Anolis sagrei: one gene and its partner. Each later gene encodes a partner of the first gene's protein in a complex. Links are inferred from orthologs where the notes say so. Each region holds a gene or a part of one and is shown on either strand. Other genes may lie near its edges.

Evidence for each region.
Region 2: the proteins of AP2M1 (region 1) and P2RX4 are in contact, whole or in part, in a crystal structure (PDB 2BP5), measured with the Rattus norvegicus proteins. The link is inferred for Anolis sagrei from reciprocal best matches to the Homo sapiens genes AP2M1 and P2RX4. Residues at the interface, in NP_446289.1 of Rattus norvegicus: Phe174, Leu175, Asp176, Lys203, Asn217, Leu316, Ala317, Gln318, Lys319, Glu391, Val392, Pro393, Lys400, Val401, Arg402, Tyr403, Leu404, Ile419, Lys420, Trp421, Val422, Arg423, Tyr424, Ile425; in NP_113782.2 of Rattus norvegicus: Val375, Glu376, Asp377, Tyr378, Glu379, Gln380, Gly381, Leu382, Ser383, Gly384.

Annotation. Positions count from the first base shown.
Region 1 is NC_090023.1:264,556,465-264,565,377, reverse strand, and holds the start of AP2M1 (AP-2 complex subunit mu), read left to right. Parts: upstream 1-5,355; 5' UTR 5,356-5,457; intron 5,458-8,913.
Region 2 is NC_090034.1:42,603,732-42,611,995, forward strand, and holds the start of P2RX4 (P2X purinoceptor 4), read left to right. Parts: upstream 1-4,974; 5' UTR 4,975-5,114; coding exon 5,115-5,281; intron 5,282-5,674; exon of another isoform or gene 5,675-5,876; coding exon of another isoform or gene 5,877-6,022; intron 6,023-8,264. UniProt on the Homo sapiens protein: ATP-gated nonselective transmembrane cation channel permeable to potassium, sodium and calcium. CTP, but not GTP or UTP, functions as a weak affinity agonist for P2RX4.

The DNA.
Region 1 (8,913 bases):
TTGCAGTTTCTCAGGTCACCCCTGACACCAAAACAAAGCAGAACTCTTGACCCAGGGAAGTCTCTGCAAATGCCAGGCCCTTTTTGTGTGAGTGATGACGCTTGACTTTATCATAACGATAGTCAAGCACAATATGGATTGAGGCATCCAAGGAAGAACATGGAAGTTGTCTTGATCTGTGGAAGCTACACGCTTTACGGAATGAAACAGTGGAGTTACCTTTGCAGAATCCCATTATTATAACCATGGAGTGCATACATCTATGGTTTTTCAGTATTTAGAATAGTGTCCAGTTCACTCCAGTACCAAACTTCCTTATTACAACTCTGCTGCTAGTGAGGAGGATTACTGAAGGTGGCCCTCTGTTTTACTTTTTGGTAGACTTTTCCCTTTTGGTAGGCTATGCTTGTGCCTCACCTTTTGGTGATACAGTTGGTTAAACTGCTGAACTTGCTGACCGGAAGGTCAGCGGTTCAAATCCTGAGAACAGGGTAAGCCCCTGCTGTCAGGCCCAGCTTCTGCCAATTTAGCAGTTCGAAAACATTCAAATGTGAGTAGATCAATAGGTACTGCCTATTGGTAATGGCACTCCATGCAGTCATGCTGGCCACATGACCTAGGCGGTGTCTACGGACAACGCTAGCTCTTTGGCTTAGAAATGGAGATGAGCACCTCGTTCCAGGGTTGGACACGACTACACTTAATGTCAGGGGAAACCTTTACCTCTTACGCTGTGCTTTGTGTAATTCCGCCTTTTACTTACATATTTGGGAATTTTAGATCATTTCACTTTGTTTTCCTATCACTGGGGAGACTTTATAGAGCGACTTCTCTCACCTTTTAGAGAGAAAACAAGGGGTACAAACAAAAATAATAAATGAAATACATACACTTAAGATAGAGCTTGTATGACCAAGTTTGTCCTGAAAGTAGGCTGATCCCACCTTCAGAGACAAATATGTGCCAGTTGCCATAGGAGGCTTAGTGGGCTTTGATGGAGGGCCCTTCCACACAGCCAAATAATCCAGAATATCAAGGCAGATAATCCACAATATCTGCTTTGAACTGGTTTATCAGAGTCCACACTGTCATATAATTCGGTTCAATGTGGATTTTAGACAGCTGTGTGGAAGGGGCCTGGAATATCCATCATATGCAGGCTTTTAAAACCACATATTTGGGAACTAAGCTTATAGTCTTGCTGTCCTCAAGGTGTGACTGAGCCCCAGAACACCAGAGAAAAGAGCAGGATGGGCGCAGGTGATAATCTCTCTCTTCCCATTTCTTTTCTCCTTGCATCTGCTTTGCTTCCCTCCCTTTTCCCAGTGTTGTCTTCTCATGTTTTTTCTGGATTAAAGAATAACCCATTCAGGGCTTGAAGGAAATGTATGTAAAGATGGATCAGTCCAGGCTGCTCTGCTGGAAGATGAAACAGTTTCTATGGGAACACTCTGTCACTTGTAGTCCTGCCATAGAACAGACATTCTGGCATCAGATTGGGAGAAACATTGCTTTCTGGCATTCATGCTGCCAGGTGGAAATCACAAGCACAAACAGGAGCCTTGCAGGAAATGAGATATCTTCCCTCGATATAATTCTCAACACGTTTGATTGGCTTGAATGTCGGACTAGGACTTTGCTCATGCCTGCTATATAAAGACGAGGCTGTTTTGCTGCCACTTTAGCCATCCCTGTTATGTTTTCCTGGATGCGACATTGTTTTCTCCTCTCTCTTGACCAGGTACTACTACACTTTTGCCCTGTTCCTCCTTCCGTTTCCTTCCTCCTCCTTTGGTGCTATCTTCCTGTGTCACACATATTCTCCCCCCTTCCAAATTTTATATAAATTGAAACCATCCTATGTGTTTTTTTATTTATAAAAATAGTTTTATTGGACTCCATGTGGTCTCGGTGTGGCTTATTTTAGTCGTTATATAATAATATATAATAATAAAACTTTATTTATATACCACTCTCTCTCCCTCCTAGGGGATTCAGTGCGGTTTCCAATCACAAAAACACACAAACATACAGAGTAAACAAAACATAAGTGTAAAATTATCAGTACAATACATCTATCTATATAAATAAAAATGTAATGTTCGTTTGTGGGATTAACATAACTCAAAAACCACTTGACGAATTGACACCAAATTTGGACACAATACAACTATCAGACCAATAATAATAATAATAATAATAATAATAATAATAATAATAATCTTTATTTATACCCTGCTACCATCTCCCCATGGGACTCGGTGCGGCTTACATGAGCCCGAGCCCGCAATACATCAATACAAGCAATAACAGACACAATACAAGGCAATTAAAATAAATTTCATACACAAATAGCATACACATTAAACAAAGTACAGTGCACATTTAAAATCTGCGGCCAAATGTAATTAAAGTTTAAAAACCAGTGACCATTACTCATAAAAAAACTGAAAAACAGCTGAAGAAACTTAAAAAACCAATAAATAAATAAAAAATATTACAACGCATGGGCAAAACCACAAATATATACACACACATGTACACACAAAAAACACATATACACAGACTGGGCCACAGCAACGTGTGGCAGGAGCAGCTAGTATACAATAAAACCAGTTCCCCTTATTCTTCATGCCAAGGTTAGCTGTTTGGGCCGGAATTTCAGAAAGGGCCTAAGCATATAGCCGGGCGAGGCTAGTGCAAGATATAGGGGGCCAGGGGAATGGGTAAAGTGCAATAACCTGTCCCAGCAACAGTAATAGTGGAGCCATTTCCTGAGCGTATTGGAGAACTGACCGGGGTAATAGGTGAGGAGAAGGGGCATATTCTAGCTAGTGGCCAGGGGCTGGAGTTCATGCTAGTAATTCTCAAAGGCCTGGTGAAACCACCAAGTCTCAAGTTCTTAAAAAAAGAGGAGAGGGATGGGGCCTGTCTTATTTCTCTGGGGAGGAGGTTCCAGAGGTGGGGGGCCACCACCGAGAAGGCCTTCTCTCTCGTCCCCACCAACTGTGTTAATGATGGTGGTGGGAGCGAGAGAAGGACCTCCCCTGTGGATCTTTGAGTTTGCGCTGGTTTGTAGAGGGAGATGCGATCGCGTAGATAGGCGGGGCCCGAACTGTTTAGGGCTTTATAGGTCATAACCTGCACCTTGAATTTGACTCGGCAACTTATTGGCAGCCAATGAGGCTGTTTTAATAGGGGTGTTGTATGCTCCCTATAATATTGAAGTAATGTATTATATATATAAACCTCTTCCAGAAAATTAGAAACATTGGAGGTAAATTTCAGGTAAAAATTGGTATGATAAGAAACAAAGTTGGCAATTTATATCCCCATACCAAAAAAGAGAAATGCGAAAGACTGCTCAAACTTCCGTACAGTGGCCCTTATTTTTCATGCCAGTAAGGTAATGCTCAAGATCCTGCAAGGAAGACTCCAGCAATACATGGAGCGAGAGTTGCCAGATGTTCAAGCTGGGTTTAGAAAAGGCAGAGGAACAAGAGACCAGATTGCCAATATCTGGATGCTGGAGAATGGAGAAAGGCAGGGAGTTTCAGAAAAACATCTATTTCTGCTTCATTGACTATTCTAAAGCCTTTGACTGTGTGGATCATAATAAATTGTGGCAAGTTCTTGGTGGGATGGGCATCCCAAGGCACCTTCCCTCTCTCCTGAGGAATCTGTACAAGGACCAAGGAGCAACAGTCAGAACTGACCACGGAACAACAGACTGGTTCAAGATTGGGAAAGGCGTACGGCAAGGCTGCATCCTCTCACCCAACCTTTTTAACTTGCATGCAGAACACATCATGCGAAGATGTGTGGGGCTTGAGGAATGCAAAGCTGGGGTGAAAATTGCTGGAAGAAACATTAACAACCTCAGATATGCAGATGACACCACTCTGATGGCCGAAAGCGAGGAGGAGCTGAGGAGCCTTCTAATCAAGGTGAAAGAAGAAAGCGCAAAAGCCGGGTTGCAGCTAAACATAAAAAAACCAAGATTATGGCAACAAGAATGATTGACAACTGGAAAATAAAATGTGGAGGCCGTGACAGACTTTGTATTTCTAGGGGCAAAGATTACTGCAGATGCAGACTGGCCAGGAAATCAGAAGACGCTTCCTTCTTGGGAGGAGAGCAATGTCCAATCTTGATAAAATAGTAAAGAGTAGAGACATCACACTGGCAACAAAGATCCATTGCCTAGTCAAAGCCATGGTATTCCCTGTAGTCGCCTACGGATGTGAGAGCTGGACCTTAGAGAAGGCTGAGCGAAGGAAGAGAGATGCTTTTGAGCTGTGGTGTTGGAGGAAAGTTCTGAGAGTGCCTTGGACTGCGAGAAGATCCAACCAGTCCATCCTCCAGGAAATAAAGCCCGGCTGCTCACTGGAGGGAAAGATACTAGAGACAAAGTGGAAGTCCTTTGGCCACATCATGAGGAGACAGCAAAGCCTAGAGAAGACAATTATGCTGGGGAAAGTGGAAGGCAAAAGGAAGAGGGGCCGACCAAGGGCAAGATGGATGGATGGCATCCTTGAAGTGACTGGACTGACCTTGAAGGAGCTTGGGGTGGTGACGGCTGACAGGGAGCTCTGGCGTGGGCTGGTCCATGAGGTCACGAAGAGTCGGAGACGACTGAATGAATGAACAACAACAACTATATAATATTATATATATTGAATTACTATATTGTACTACACCACAATACAGCAATATTATTAGTAATATTACATGCAATATATAATATACAATTATTATATCATATATTATTATATTGTACTGTATTATTATACCATATATACATATACATATACATATATATATATATATATATATGATATCACGATATTGTACTATAGCACTATAAGGCAATATTATTACTAATATTACATGTAATATATAATATACAATTATTATATTATTATATATTATTATTATATTATATATTATTATATTGTACTGTATTATTATACCACAATATACATATATAATACATTATATCAATACTATTGGTATTATATAATATATTGTACTATATTATAAGTTGTATAAACTATATTGCAAGCTACCCATGGCAATTTAGTGTGAGGCACTGAGGATCCAAAGGGGACATCTCTGCTCTCTCCAAGTTTACACATCCCAGGATTCCCAGTTCAAACGGGAAAAGCTGGGCCAAAGGAGAGCCTTATGATAAGATAGAACTGCAAAAGACCAAAAAAACTACGCGCCCCGTCGGCCACCGCGCGAAGCTCAAGCTTGCGAGTGATTCCTCCCTCTGCCGCGTTGCATGCCGGGTCAAGAAGTCTCTGCCCTTTTCGCAGGCTTCTCTCGCTCTCTCGGGCAGCGCATGCGTACTGGCGGCGCCGCTGCAGTTATAGCGGAGGGGGGAGAGGCCGCCATTTTAGCCGTTGGTGAAGAAGAAGAAGGAGGAGAAGGAGAGGCGGGAGGCCGAAGCAGGTGAGCCCTCTCTTACTCTAACCCTTTCTCTGTTTCTCCTGCGCCTTTAGAGGCCTCCCCCAACTCGGGGAGCAAAGGGCTTGTTGAATAGCGCCTCTTCCTGAGGCCAAGCCCAGACTGAGGCCCATCCCCAACACACACACACATATACATATGCACACACAAACACACACACACACATACACACTTTCAAGGGTGTCCCTAAAAGTCTCAATGCATAGGACAAATTAACAAAGTCATGTATTATTTTATATATTTATATTACAGTGTGTGTGTGTGTATACACACACATATACATACATACATACATACACACACACACACTTTCAAGGGTGTCCCTAAAAGACTCAAAGCATAGGACAAATTAACAAACTCATGTATTATTATATATTTATATTTCAGTGTTTGTGTATGTGTGTGTGTACATACATAAATATACACACAAACACACACACATACACATTTTCAAGGGTGTCCCTAAAAGTCTCAATGCATAGGACAAATTAACAAACTCGTGTATTATTTTATATATTTATATTTCAGTGTGTGTGTATGTGTGTATATACACACAGATATACATACATATATACACACACACACACATACACACTTTCAAGGGTGTCCCTAAAAGTCTCCATGCATAGGACAAACTAACAAAGTCATGTATTATTTTATATATTTATATTACAATGTGTGTATGTGTGTGTGTGTGTGTGTGTGTGTGTGTGTGTATATATATATATATATACACACACACACACACACACACACACATAAATATACACACACAAACAAACACACACACATACACACTTTCAAGGGTGTCCCTAAAAGTCTCAATGCATAGTACAAATTAACAAAGTCATGTATTATTTTATATATTTATATTACAGCACATATATGTATATATATATACACACAGACATACACACACACACACACACACTTACATACACACTTTCAAGGGTGTCCCTAAAAGTCTCAATGCATAGGACAAATTAACAAACTCATGTATTATTTTATATATTTATATTACTCTCTCTCTCTCTCTCTATATATATATACTAGCTTGGGGACCCGGCGTTGCCCGGGTTATTAGAGAAAGTGGGTAATGGCGGTTCTGTATGCCAAGTTTGGTCTTTATTGGTCTTTGGATAATGGCAGCATTATTTTCAGGAAGTGAGTGAAGGTACTTCAAAGTCCCATCATCCATGGGCCATCCTCCTACAAACAGCAGCAGGATATAGAGTGGGTCATGGGGGCTCTGTGTGCCAAGTTTGGTCTTTATCAGTCATTAGATGAGGGTGGCAGTGGTGTCAGTAAGTGAGTGAAGGTACTGCAAGTCCCATCATCCAAAGTCCATCCCCTTTCAAACTGCAGCAGGATGTAGAGTGGATCATGGGGGCTCTGTGTGCCAAGTGTGGTCTTGATTGGTCATTAGAAGAGGGTTGCAGCAATCTTTGGAAGGGAGTGGAGGTACTTGAAGTCCCATCATCCATGGTCTGTCCTCCTCCAAACTGCAGCAGGATGTAGAGTGGGTCATTGGAGCTCCATGTGCCAAATTTAGTCTTGATTAGTCATTGGCGAGGGTCTCAGTGGTCTCAGGAAGTGAGCAAAGGTACTGCAAGTCCCATCATCCATCCCCAAATTTTTCCAAAGAACACCAGGTCGTAAAGTAGGTCATGAGAGGTCTATGTACCAAGTTTGGTCTTGATCCGTCATTGGAAGAGGTTTGCAGAGGTCTCAGAATGTGAGTGAAGGTATTGGAAGTTCCATCATCCATGGTCCACCCTTCTCCAAAACTGCAGCAGGATGTAGAGTGGGTCATGGGGGCTCTGTGTGCCAACGTTGGTCTTGATTGGTCATTAGATGAGTTTTGCAGCAGTCTTGGGTAGTGGAGGTACTTGAAGTCCCATCATCCATGGTCTGTCGTCCTCCAAACTGCTCCAGGATGTAGAGTGGGTCATTGAAGCTCCATGTGCCAAGTTTAGTCTTGATGAGTCATTGGCGAGGGTCTCGGTGGTCTCAGGAAGTGAGTGAGGTGACTGCAAGTCCCATCATCCATTGTCAAATTCTTCCAAACCGCACCAGGATGTAGAGTGAGTTATGCAGGCTCTCTGTGTAAATTGTGGTCCTGATCCATCATTGTTGGCAGTTATAATGGTCTTAGGAAGGGAGTGCAGGTATTGCAAGTCCCATCGCCCATGGTGCATCCTCCTTCAAACTGCACCTGGATGTAGAGTGCACCATGGAGACTCAGTGTGCCAAGTTTGGTATTTATTGGTAATTGGATGAGGGTTGCAGTGGTATGAAGAATTGAGCAATGGTACTGCAAGTCCCATAATCCATGGTCCATCCCCGGCCAAACCACACCAGGACGTACAGTGGGTCATGAGAGGTCTCTGTGCGAAGTTTGGTCCTGATCAGTCATTGGATAAGGTTAACAGTGGTCTCAGAATGTGAGTGGTGGTACTGCAAGTCCCATCATCCATGGTTCATCCTCCTCCAAACTGCAGTAGGATGTAGAGTGGGTGATGGGGGCTTTGTGTGCCTATTTCGGTCTGTATTGGGAGTGTTCTGACCCAGCCCCCTTTGGCCTTTCCTTTCCTCTCTTTCTCATCTCAGAATGTTGGATTTGAGGCTGGCCAATCAGAGAGCATATGCAAATTTCCTTCTGTCATGCCCCGTTTCTGCCATGAACCCTCTTCTCCACCAGGGGGTCCTATTGAAGCTGGCCAATCAGAGACCATATGCAAATAGCACCACAGCGGCAGCCAATCAGAACGCTGGCACATACACCGCCCTCCACAATTCCTATACAAACAAACACTCTTCTTTATTATATATATAGATAGATAGATAGATTGGGCAATAAGAAGTTCGTGATCTGAGCTACAGTCAGCCCCAGGTCTTGTTTTCACCGACTGGATGGATGTCCGCCACCTTTGGCTGCAAAGGATGTAGTCAATCTGATTTCTGTGTTGACCGTCTGGTGAGGTCCATGTGTAAAGCCGCCTTTTAGGTTGTTGGAAGAGAGTATTCGTTATACACAGCGAGTTTTCCTGGCAAAATTCTATCAGCCTGCGTCCCGCTTCGTTTTGTTCTCCCAGACCATACTTGCCTGTGATCCCTGTTGTCATTTGACTTCCCACCTTGGCATTCCAGTCTCCTGTAATGAAAATAATGTCTCTTTTTGGTGTATTATCCAGTAGGTCCTGCAGATCCTCATAGAACTGATCTACTTCTGCTTCTTCAGCAGCTGTGGTTGGGGCGTATATTTGGATCACTGTAATGTTGAAAGGCTTTCCTTGCACTCGAATTGAGATCATTCTGTCATTTTTTGGGTTGTATCCAAGCACTGCTTTAGCGAATTTCTTATTAATTATGAAGGCTACTCCATTTCTTCGATGTTCCTCTTGTCCGCAATAGTAGATCTGGTGGTCATCTGATGTGAAG
Region 2 (8,264 bases), on another chromosome or scaffold:
ATTGGGTATTTGTTTTTATCTTATATCTATTATCCATTTCAGGTTTTCTTGCATTATAAAATTCTTTACCGGTGTCCAGTCTGTTTTTGATATTTTCAAATTCTGCTTTGCTCATCAATTGGGTTAATTTGTCCATGTTCATAATATCTGTAATTTTCATTAGCCGTTGTTCTTGTGTTGGGATCTCTTTTGTTCTCTTTTCTTGCATAGTTTATTCTGGCCGCTATCTGGCAGATAGTTAAAGAGTTTATCCTTATTAGGTTCTATTTCAAAGTCAGTTATTCCTAATAGGAAATATTCTGGTTTTAATTCTATTTTTATATCTAATATCTTTTCTAAATTTTTTGTGTATGTTTTTCCAATATGACTTAGCAATTTTACATGTCCACCACATGTGAAAAAATGAGCCTGTTTGGTCTTTGCACTTCCAACATCTGTCTTTTGGATAACATTTAGCCAGTTTCTGAGGTGTAATGTACCACCTATACATCATTTTTAACCAATTTTCTTATAGATCAAATGCATAACTGTATTTTATTTTCTTATTCTATATTTTCCCTTCTGAGATGATTTTTGTTATGTGTTGTTTTGGTCTTTTTGTCCTTATTTTTCTGAATAACCATTTTCCACATTTGTTTGCATTTTGGAAATATTGCTGTTCATCAAATTTCATTTTCTTTGAAAGTTGTTCCATTTCTAATTCCTTTGTTTTTGTAAAATCTCAATTTCTGTTTTTGGAGGTTTTTCGTCAGATCTTTTTCTATTTCCGATATTGTAGCCATTACTTGAAGAGATTCTCTATTTCTTGCTTTGTTTTTTCTTGCATTTTGTTGAATTAGATGTCCCCGCATCACGGCTTTACTTGTGTCCTAGATCGTTTGGTAAGAAAGATTTTCAGTTTTATTTAGTTCAAAGAATTCTCATAAGATATCTTTATTCCTTTTTTATATCTTCCTCAGATCTCAGGAAGTCATTATTTAATCTCCATTTCCTTGTATATTCTCCTGTCTTCCATTTGAATTCTAAGGGGCACTGGTCTGAGTTTGTTCTTGGAAGAATTTTTATCTTTTGGATCTTGATGTTTGTTGTCCAGACCATGTCTATTCTTGACCATGTTTGATGGCGGTCTGAATAGAAAGTGTAGTCTCTTTCTTTTGAGTTTCTACTTCTCCATGTGTTTTGTAGATTGAATTCATTCATCAGGTTAGTAAATGACAATGGTAATTCTCCAGCTTTTTTCTTTGTTATGTTTTGTTAAAGTATTCCTTTCTAATTTGCTGTCCAAGACTCCATTGAAGTCTCTTTGAGGCAGCTTTCAAGGGTGTTCCATCTCTTGTTCTCCATAGGGTCAGGTTTCCATGACAGTAAATTGAGGATTTGTAGGTGCTCCTTTTCTCGGGTGGAATACAGTTTCCATCATCCCTCCCCAGCCAGTGGTGAAGAGATAATGGGAGCTGCAGCCCCACAACACCTGTGAGGCCACCTGAATCTTATCCTTCTTATAGGAGATACTCCTCACTCCTTTTTGTTTTTGGATCTGGAGTTGTAACTGGCAGCAATGGAGGTGGGACAGAGAGCAGTCCTCAGTTGGCAGAACCGATTGGTCCACACTAATCCCTGCTGTTTTCTCAGTTAGAGCAAGAGACGGGTGAGAAGAAAAATGCCTACCAAAGATTTAACATTCCCAGTGTAAGTAATGCAAGGTGTATAAATTAATCAAATAACCTTCAAGGCACATTTCTTCACTTCAAACCTCTGTTTGGGAGTGGATATAAAGCATAACCTTTTGCTGTACTGCTAGCAGAACCTTCATAATATGTGTATTAAAAATTAGGCTAGTCCTCAATATTTTTTTACTAATATGTATGTATGTATGTATGTGACATATACAGTAGAGTCTTGCTTATCCAACATAAATGGGCCGGCAGAACGTTGGATAAGCGAAAATGTTGGATAAAATGGAGGGATGAAGGAAAAGCCTATTAAACGTCAAATTACATTATGATTTTACAAATTAAACACCAAAACATCATGTTTTATAACAAATCGACAGAAAAAGCAGTTCAATACACGGTAACGTTATGTAGTAATTATTGTATTTATGAATTTAACACCAAAACATCACAATGTATTGAAACGGCTCCGGGCAGGAGTCAGACTGCGTTGGATAATACAGAACATTGGATGAGCGAAGGTTGATAAACAAGACTCTACTGTGTGTGTATGTATATGTATATGTATATGTATATGTGTGTATATATATATATATATATATATATATATATACACACACACACACACACACACACACGCTAATCAAGCTACTCATGATGTTAATTTATTTTTTTTACTAACCAGGTGACCTGTATGTATTACTGACTTGTTGCATCATTGCTCCAAATGATTCTTTTGTCAGAAGCACCTAAACAAATGGTGAATTGCAAGCTAATGCTAAAATTACTACACCGATTTACAGCATTATATATTGCAGGATACTACTGCCATTCATTTTGTATTGCATTTAAATTTGTGCTGTATGTATGTGCGTGTATATATATTATATATTATACTGATGTTTTCTTATAATAAACATTTCATGTAAAAATATACTGTTGAAGCAACAAATGTTCTACATGTCTACATTCTAAAACATATGTATTCTATCCTTTTTTGAGCTTCTCAATGTTGATCACGACTGTCATGATCACCCAGCACTGGTTATGTAAACTGATGATGATGGGAGTGGCATCCCAATTTGTTGTTGAACTCCATTCCCCATTGGCCCCAGCCAACCAGACCAGTGGGAACAGCAGTTCATCAATCTCTGAAGGGCTGCCTTAAAGTCGATTTATCAATCCAGAACAAATACGCATTATTGATAAAAAGAAAATCCCAAACGAAAACTGAGAGAATATATCCACCAGAGAATGTAAAGCCCTTCAATTCAATAACATAGATTGATTGTAGTTTGTATTTTTTTTGTTTAGGATGTAGTATTCTGAATTGAATTAGTTCTATCATAAAAACATGGGGAAAGTTTACCAAACTGCAAACAAATTGTTTTTGTGGGAGGGACATCCTACAGCACATTTTGCTCTGGTTTTTCAATTAATCTATATAAATAAAAATGTAATGTTTGTTTGTGGGATTAACATAAATCAAAAACCACTTGACGAATTGCCACCAAATTTGGCCACAGGACACCTACTAACCCAAGGAGTGACCATCACTCAAAAAAGTTGATTCTGTCATTTGGGAGTTGCAGTTGCTGGGATTTATAGTTAACCTACAATCAATGAGCATTCTGAACTCCACTAATGATGGAATTGAACCAAACATGGCATACAGGACTCCCATGACCAACAGAAAACACTAAAAGGGTTTGGTGGGCATTGACCTTGAGTTTGGGAGTTGTAGTTCACCTACATCCAGAGAGCACTGTGGACTCAAACAATGATGGATCTGGGCCAAACTTGGCACAAATATTCCATATGCCCAAATATGGAGTTTGGGGAAAATAGACCTTGACATTTGGGAGTTGTAGTTACTGGGATATATAGTTCACCTACAATCAAAGAGCATTCTGAACCCCATGAACAACAGAATTGGGGCAAACTTCCCACACAGAACCTCCATGACCAACAGAAAATACTTAAGGCCATCCAGTCCAACTCCCTTCATCAGGGCAAGAAAACGTAATCAAAGCCCTCCTGACAAAGAGCCATCCAGCCATAGATATAGAGAGATATGATTCACACACACAGAGATATAGTCTCATAGATTTGAAAGGGACCCCTAAATTTGCATGTTGCATGTTCCAGAGTAGGCAAACCAGACAATCTCCACATCAACACTGACAAAGATCAGCAAGAAATACTGTTTACTCACAAGCATAAAAAAATTACATATATTAGAAACCAACACTTTCTCATTACTTTCCAGATCACCAGACTGGGCCACAGCAACGTGTGGCAAGCTAGTATCTGATATAATCTCAACCAATTCAACCTAATTTGTAGCTGCCCCAAAAAACAAAGTTTCTGGATTTGAACAACTACTTTCCAAGTAAGGATTGTACAATTAAACAGGAATTAACACTTTCAAACCAGGAACAGAAACTGGGTTGTTAGTTTTCCAGGCTGTATGGCCAGGTTCCAGAAGCATTCTTGCCTGATGTTTTGCCCACATCTGTGGCGGGCATCTTCAGAGGTTCTGAGGTCTGTTGCAAACTAGGCAAGTGAGGTTTATATGTCTGTGGATCCTCTCACCTCTGCAGGAGTCTACCACATATCATGCAGCTGTGGACAAGTCTACATAGAGACCACCAAACAGCATTGCCCAAAGACGAATCAAGGAACATGAAAGGCACTGCAGACTAATTCAACCAGAGAAGACATCCATAGCAGAACAGTTTTTTTCTGGCTATATGGCCATGTTCTAGAGGCATTCTCTCCTGACGTTTTGCCTGCATCTATGGCAAGCATCCTCAGAAGTAGTAAGGCTGCTTGCCATAGATGCAGGCGAAACGTCAGGAGAGAATGCCTCTAGAACATGGCCATATAGCCTGAAAAAACCTACAACAACCCAGTGACTCCGGCCATGAAAGCCTTTAACAATTCATAGCAGAACAACTAATGAAACAACTGGGACACAGCATATTATTGGAGAACACAGAAATGGCCGACCGCTCTGACAACCACCATGTCAGCTACACAACCACTTAGAGCTGTGTAGCTCTAAGATGTCAGGCTACACAGAGAAGCCATTGAAATTTATTTATTTATTTATTTATTTACTTCGCTTATATACTGCAGTTCTCAGCCCAGGGGCGACTCACTGCGGTGTACAACATAGCAAAAAACAAGGTGCAAAATATAAGACACAGTATAAAATAATCCACAATTCAACATTATCAGAAAACATCCTCATCAAAAACATCATTACTACAAAAGCCATTCCGTGTCGTCTCATCGCCAAAACCACAATCCAGTATCAATTTCCGTTGTTCATTCCTATGGTCAATTACCAATCATTGCACTTCTTGTTCAAACGCCTTCTTAAACAGCCAGGTCTTTAATTTCCTGCGGAATATCAGCAGGGAGGGAGCTAGTCTGATGTCCACGGGGAGGGTGTTCCACAGCCGAGGAGCCACCACCGAGAAGGCCCTATCTCTCGTCCCCGCCAGCCGTGCCTGTGAAGCAGGCGGGATCGAGAGCAGAGCCTCCCCGGAAGATCTCAAAGTCCGCCTGGTCCAGCTCGCCATCCTGGCCTATGTCATCGGGTGAGCCTTGGGCATGTGGATAATTTCAACAGAAAGGAAGAAAACATGGAAAGGGAACACAATCTGGCTAGCAGCATTTAAAAAAAGCTCTAAGATCAGGACAGTAAATAAAGAACAACACTAAAAAATGGGGGAATTCCAGACAAGAAACAATCAGGGTCAGCTAACACCAAAGGATCCCCCAGGCTTTGAAGCTGGCCTTCTCTATAGAATCACATCACCTTAGAGTTGGAAAGGGCTCATGGAGCCCAAACCCCGTGACCCAATCAAAGCCCTCCCGACAGATGGCCCTCCGCTGCTCTTGAACAGGCTGCCAAAAGAGTCCCTCCTCCCTCCCCGAGCCAAACGCCTCCAGCTTTGTTGGGAACAGGAAAGGTTTCCCCCGAAGCCTTTCCTTGGAGGGAGGAGACTGGCCAAGTCCGGCCCATTCTCTAAAGTTCCCTGGGATAGTTTGAAAACTTGTATTTCCCTCTCCTTTGGCCCTGCTGACGCCGCGCCTTCTTGCAACATGTGGGAGCCAAGCCGGAAACAGCTGCGGTGGCCTCGCTGAGCGCGAGCTCTTTGCCTGGACTCCGCTTGGACTCCGGCTTCAGCCATGGCCGCTCCGGACCGCCAGCCCTGCGGGTTCCTCTATGGCTTCCTCTTCGAGTACGACACCCCCCGCATCGTCTTGATCCGGAGCCGTAAAGTCGGCCTCATGAACCGCCTGGTCCAGCTCGCCATCCTGGCCTATGTCATCGGGTGAGCCTTGGGCAACGAGGACTTTTTCTCCCCGGCTTGGACTATGTGGGTCTTCTCGAAGAGGAAAAGGCTGGAGGGAATCTCTTCCTTCCCTTCCCTGGAGGGGTTTCAGCAGAAGCTGGCTGGCCATCTCTTGGGAAGGTTTGGATTGTGCCTTCCGGATAGAATGGGGTTGGACTGGATGACCCTTGGGGGTCCCTTCCAACTCTGGAAAAGTGATGGAGTTGGGTTTTTTTTAAAGCAGAGGCTGCATAGGCCACCAAGGGCCATCCAGTCCAACCCCCTGCCAAGAAGCAGGACAATTGCATTCAAAGCACCCCCGACAGATGGCCATCCAGCCTCTGTTTAAAAGTTTCCAAAGAAGGAGCCTCTACCACACTCCGGGGCAGAGAGTTCCACTGCTGAACAGCTCTCACAATCAGGAAGTGCTTCCTCATGTTCAGATGGAATCTCCCTTCTTGTAGAAGCCATTTCCAACTGGACTGTAATATAGAATGTGTTGTCGAAGGCTTTCATGGCTGGAATCCCTGGGTTGATGGGAGTTTTCTGGGCTGTCTGGCTATGTTCCAGAAGCATTCTCTCCTGACGTTTCAGCCACATCTATGGCAGGCATCCTCAGAGGTTGTGAGGTCTGTTGGAAACTAGGCAAGTGGGGTTTATATATCTCTGAAAATACTGTCTAGAGTGGGAGAAAGAACTCTTGTCTGTTGGAGGCAAGTGTGAATGTTGCAATCGGCCAGCTTGATTAGTATTGTGCAGGCTTGGGGGGCTTCAGCCCCCCCCCCCCAAATTCTCATGGTGGTTCGCGAAAAGGCCTACTGGTGCATTATTTAAACTGTTATGTTTATTCATATCATGATCAGATCACCATACTCAATATATCCCATATGCATGGGGGTATTGGGGTAACGATACAAAAGGTTTTCTAGGGTAGACCCTCTTTAACTCGGACTCAGCCCTCCCCCCTCCCCCCCAAATCGAAATCCTGGCTACGGGCCTGGTATTGTGTATCCTTGCAGCTTCAAAGCTTGGTTGCTTCCTGCCTGGGGGAATCCTTTGTTGGGAGGTGTTAGCTGGCCCTGATTGTTTCCTGCCTGGAATTCGCTGTTTTTTGAGTCTGGAATTCCCTGTTTTGTGAGGTCTGCCGGAAACTAGGCAATTGGTGTTTATACAGATACCTGTGAAATAATGTCCAGGGTGGGAGAAAGAACTCTTGTCTGTTGGAGGTAAGTGGGAATGTTGCCATTGGCCAGCTGGATTAGCATTGAGTAGCCTGGCAGCTTCAAAGGCTGGCTGCTTCCTGCCTGGGGGAATTCTTGGTTGGGAGGACCATCAAACCAGACACGAATCAAGGAACATGAAAGGCACTGTAGACTAATCCAACCAGAGAAGTCAGCCATAGCGGAGTACTTGATGAACCAACCTGGATACAGCATATTGATTGAGAACACAGAAATGCTGGACCACTTTGACAACCACCATGTCAGAATATGCAGAGAAGCCACTGAAATCCACAATAAGCATGTGGACAATTTCAACAGAAAGGAGGGGACCATGAACATGAACAAAATCTGACTATCAGTATTTAGAAACTCTAAAATCAGTACGGTAAATAAAGAACAACACTCAGAAAACAAGGGGATTCCAGACAGGAAACTATCAGGGCCAGCTAACATCTCCCACGAAAGGATTCCCCCAGGCAACAGCAGTCAGGCTCTGAGGCTGCAAGGCTATTCCAGGTTATTCCATGCCAAAAAGGCAAACATTCAATGCCTGGTACAGACAATAAATTCAAATACAATACAAAGCATCCAAACCCCAAAATAGATCAACGTATATGAAAATAAATCAACATATGCCAAAAACCCACATATAACATCAAATTGTAACATATAACCTAAAATCAACATTAAATTATATCAAGTATAAAAACAGGAACCTCAATTTACACACACACCCAGGTTCAATTGGTATTGAATTAAAATTAATTATGTTGCCTATGATGTTAACTAAGCCAACAAAACCAGAGTATGTGAATATTTTCCAGTCAGAGATTTGTTGTATCTAGTTTAATAGCAAGGATTCCGTAACAACAAGCCATGGCGGTCAAAGTGGTATCAAACTGCATTCATTCTACAGTGTAGACAATATATGAAACCCCTTCCATAGATTTGCCAATGGGTGTATGTCTTGTGTGTTCGATTTATGCAAAACCTTGTGTTGTGTGCTGCCAAGGGGCTTC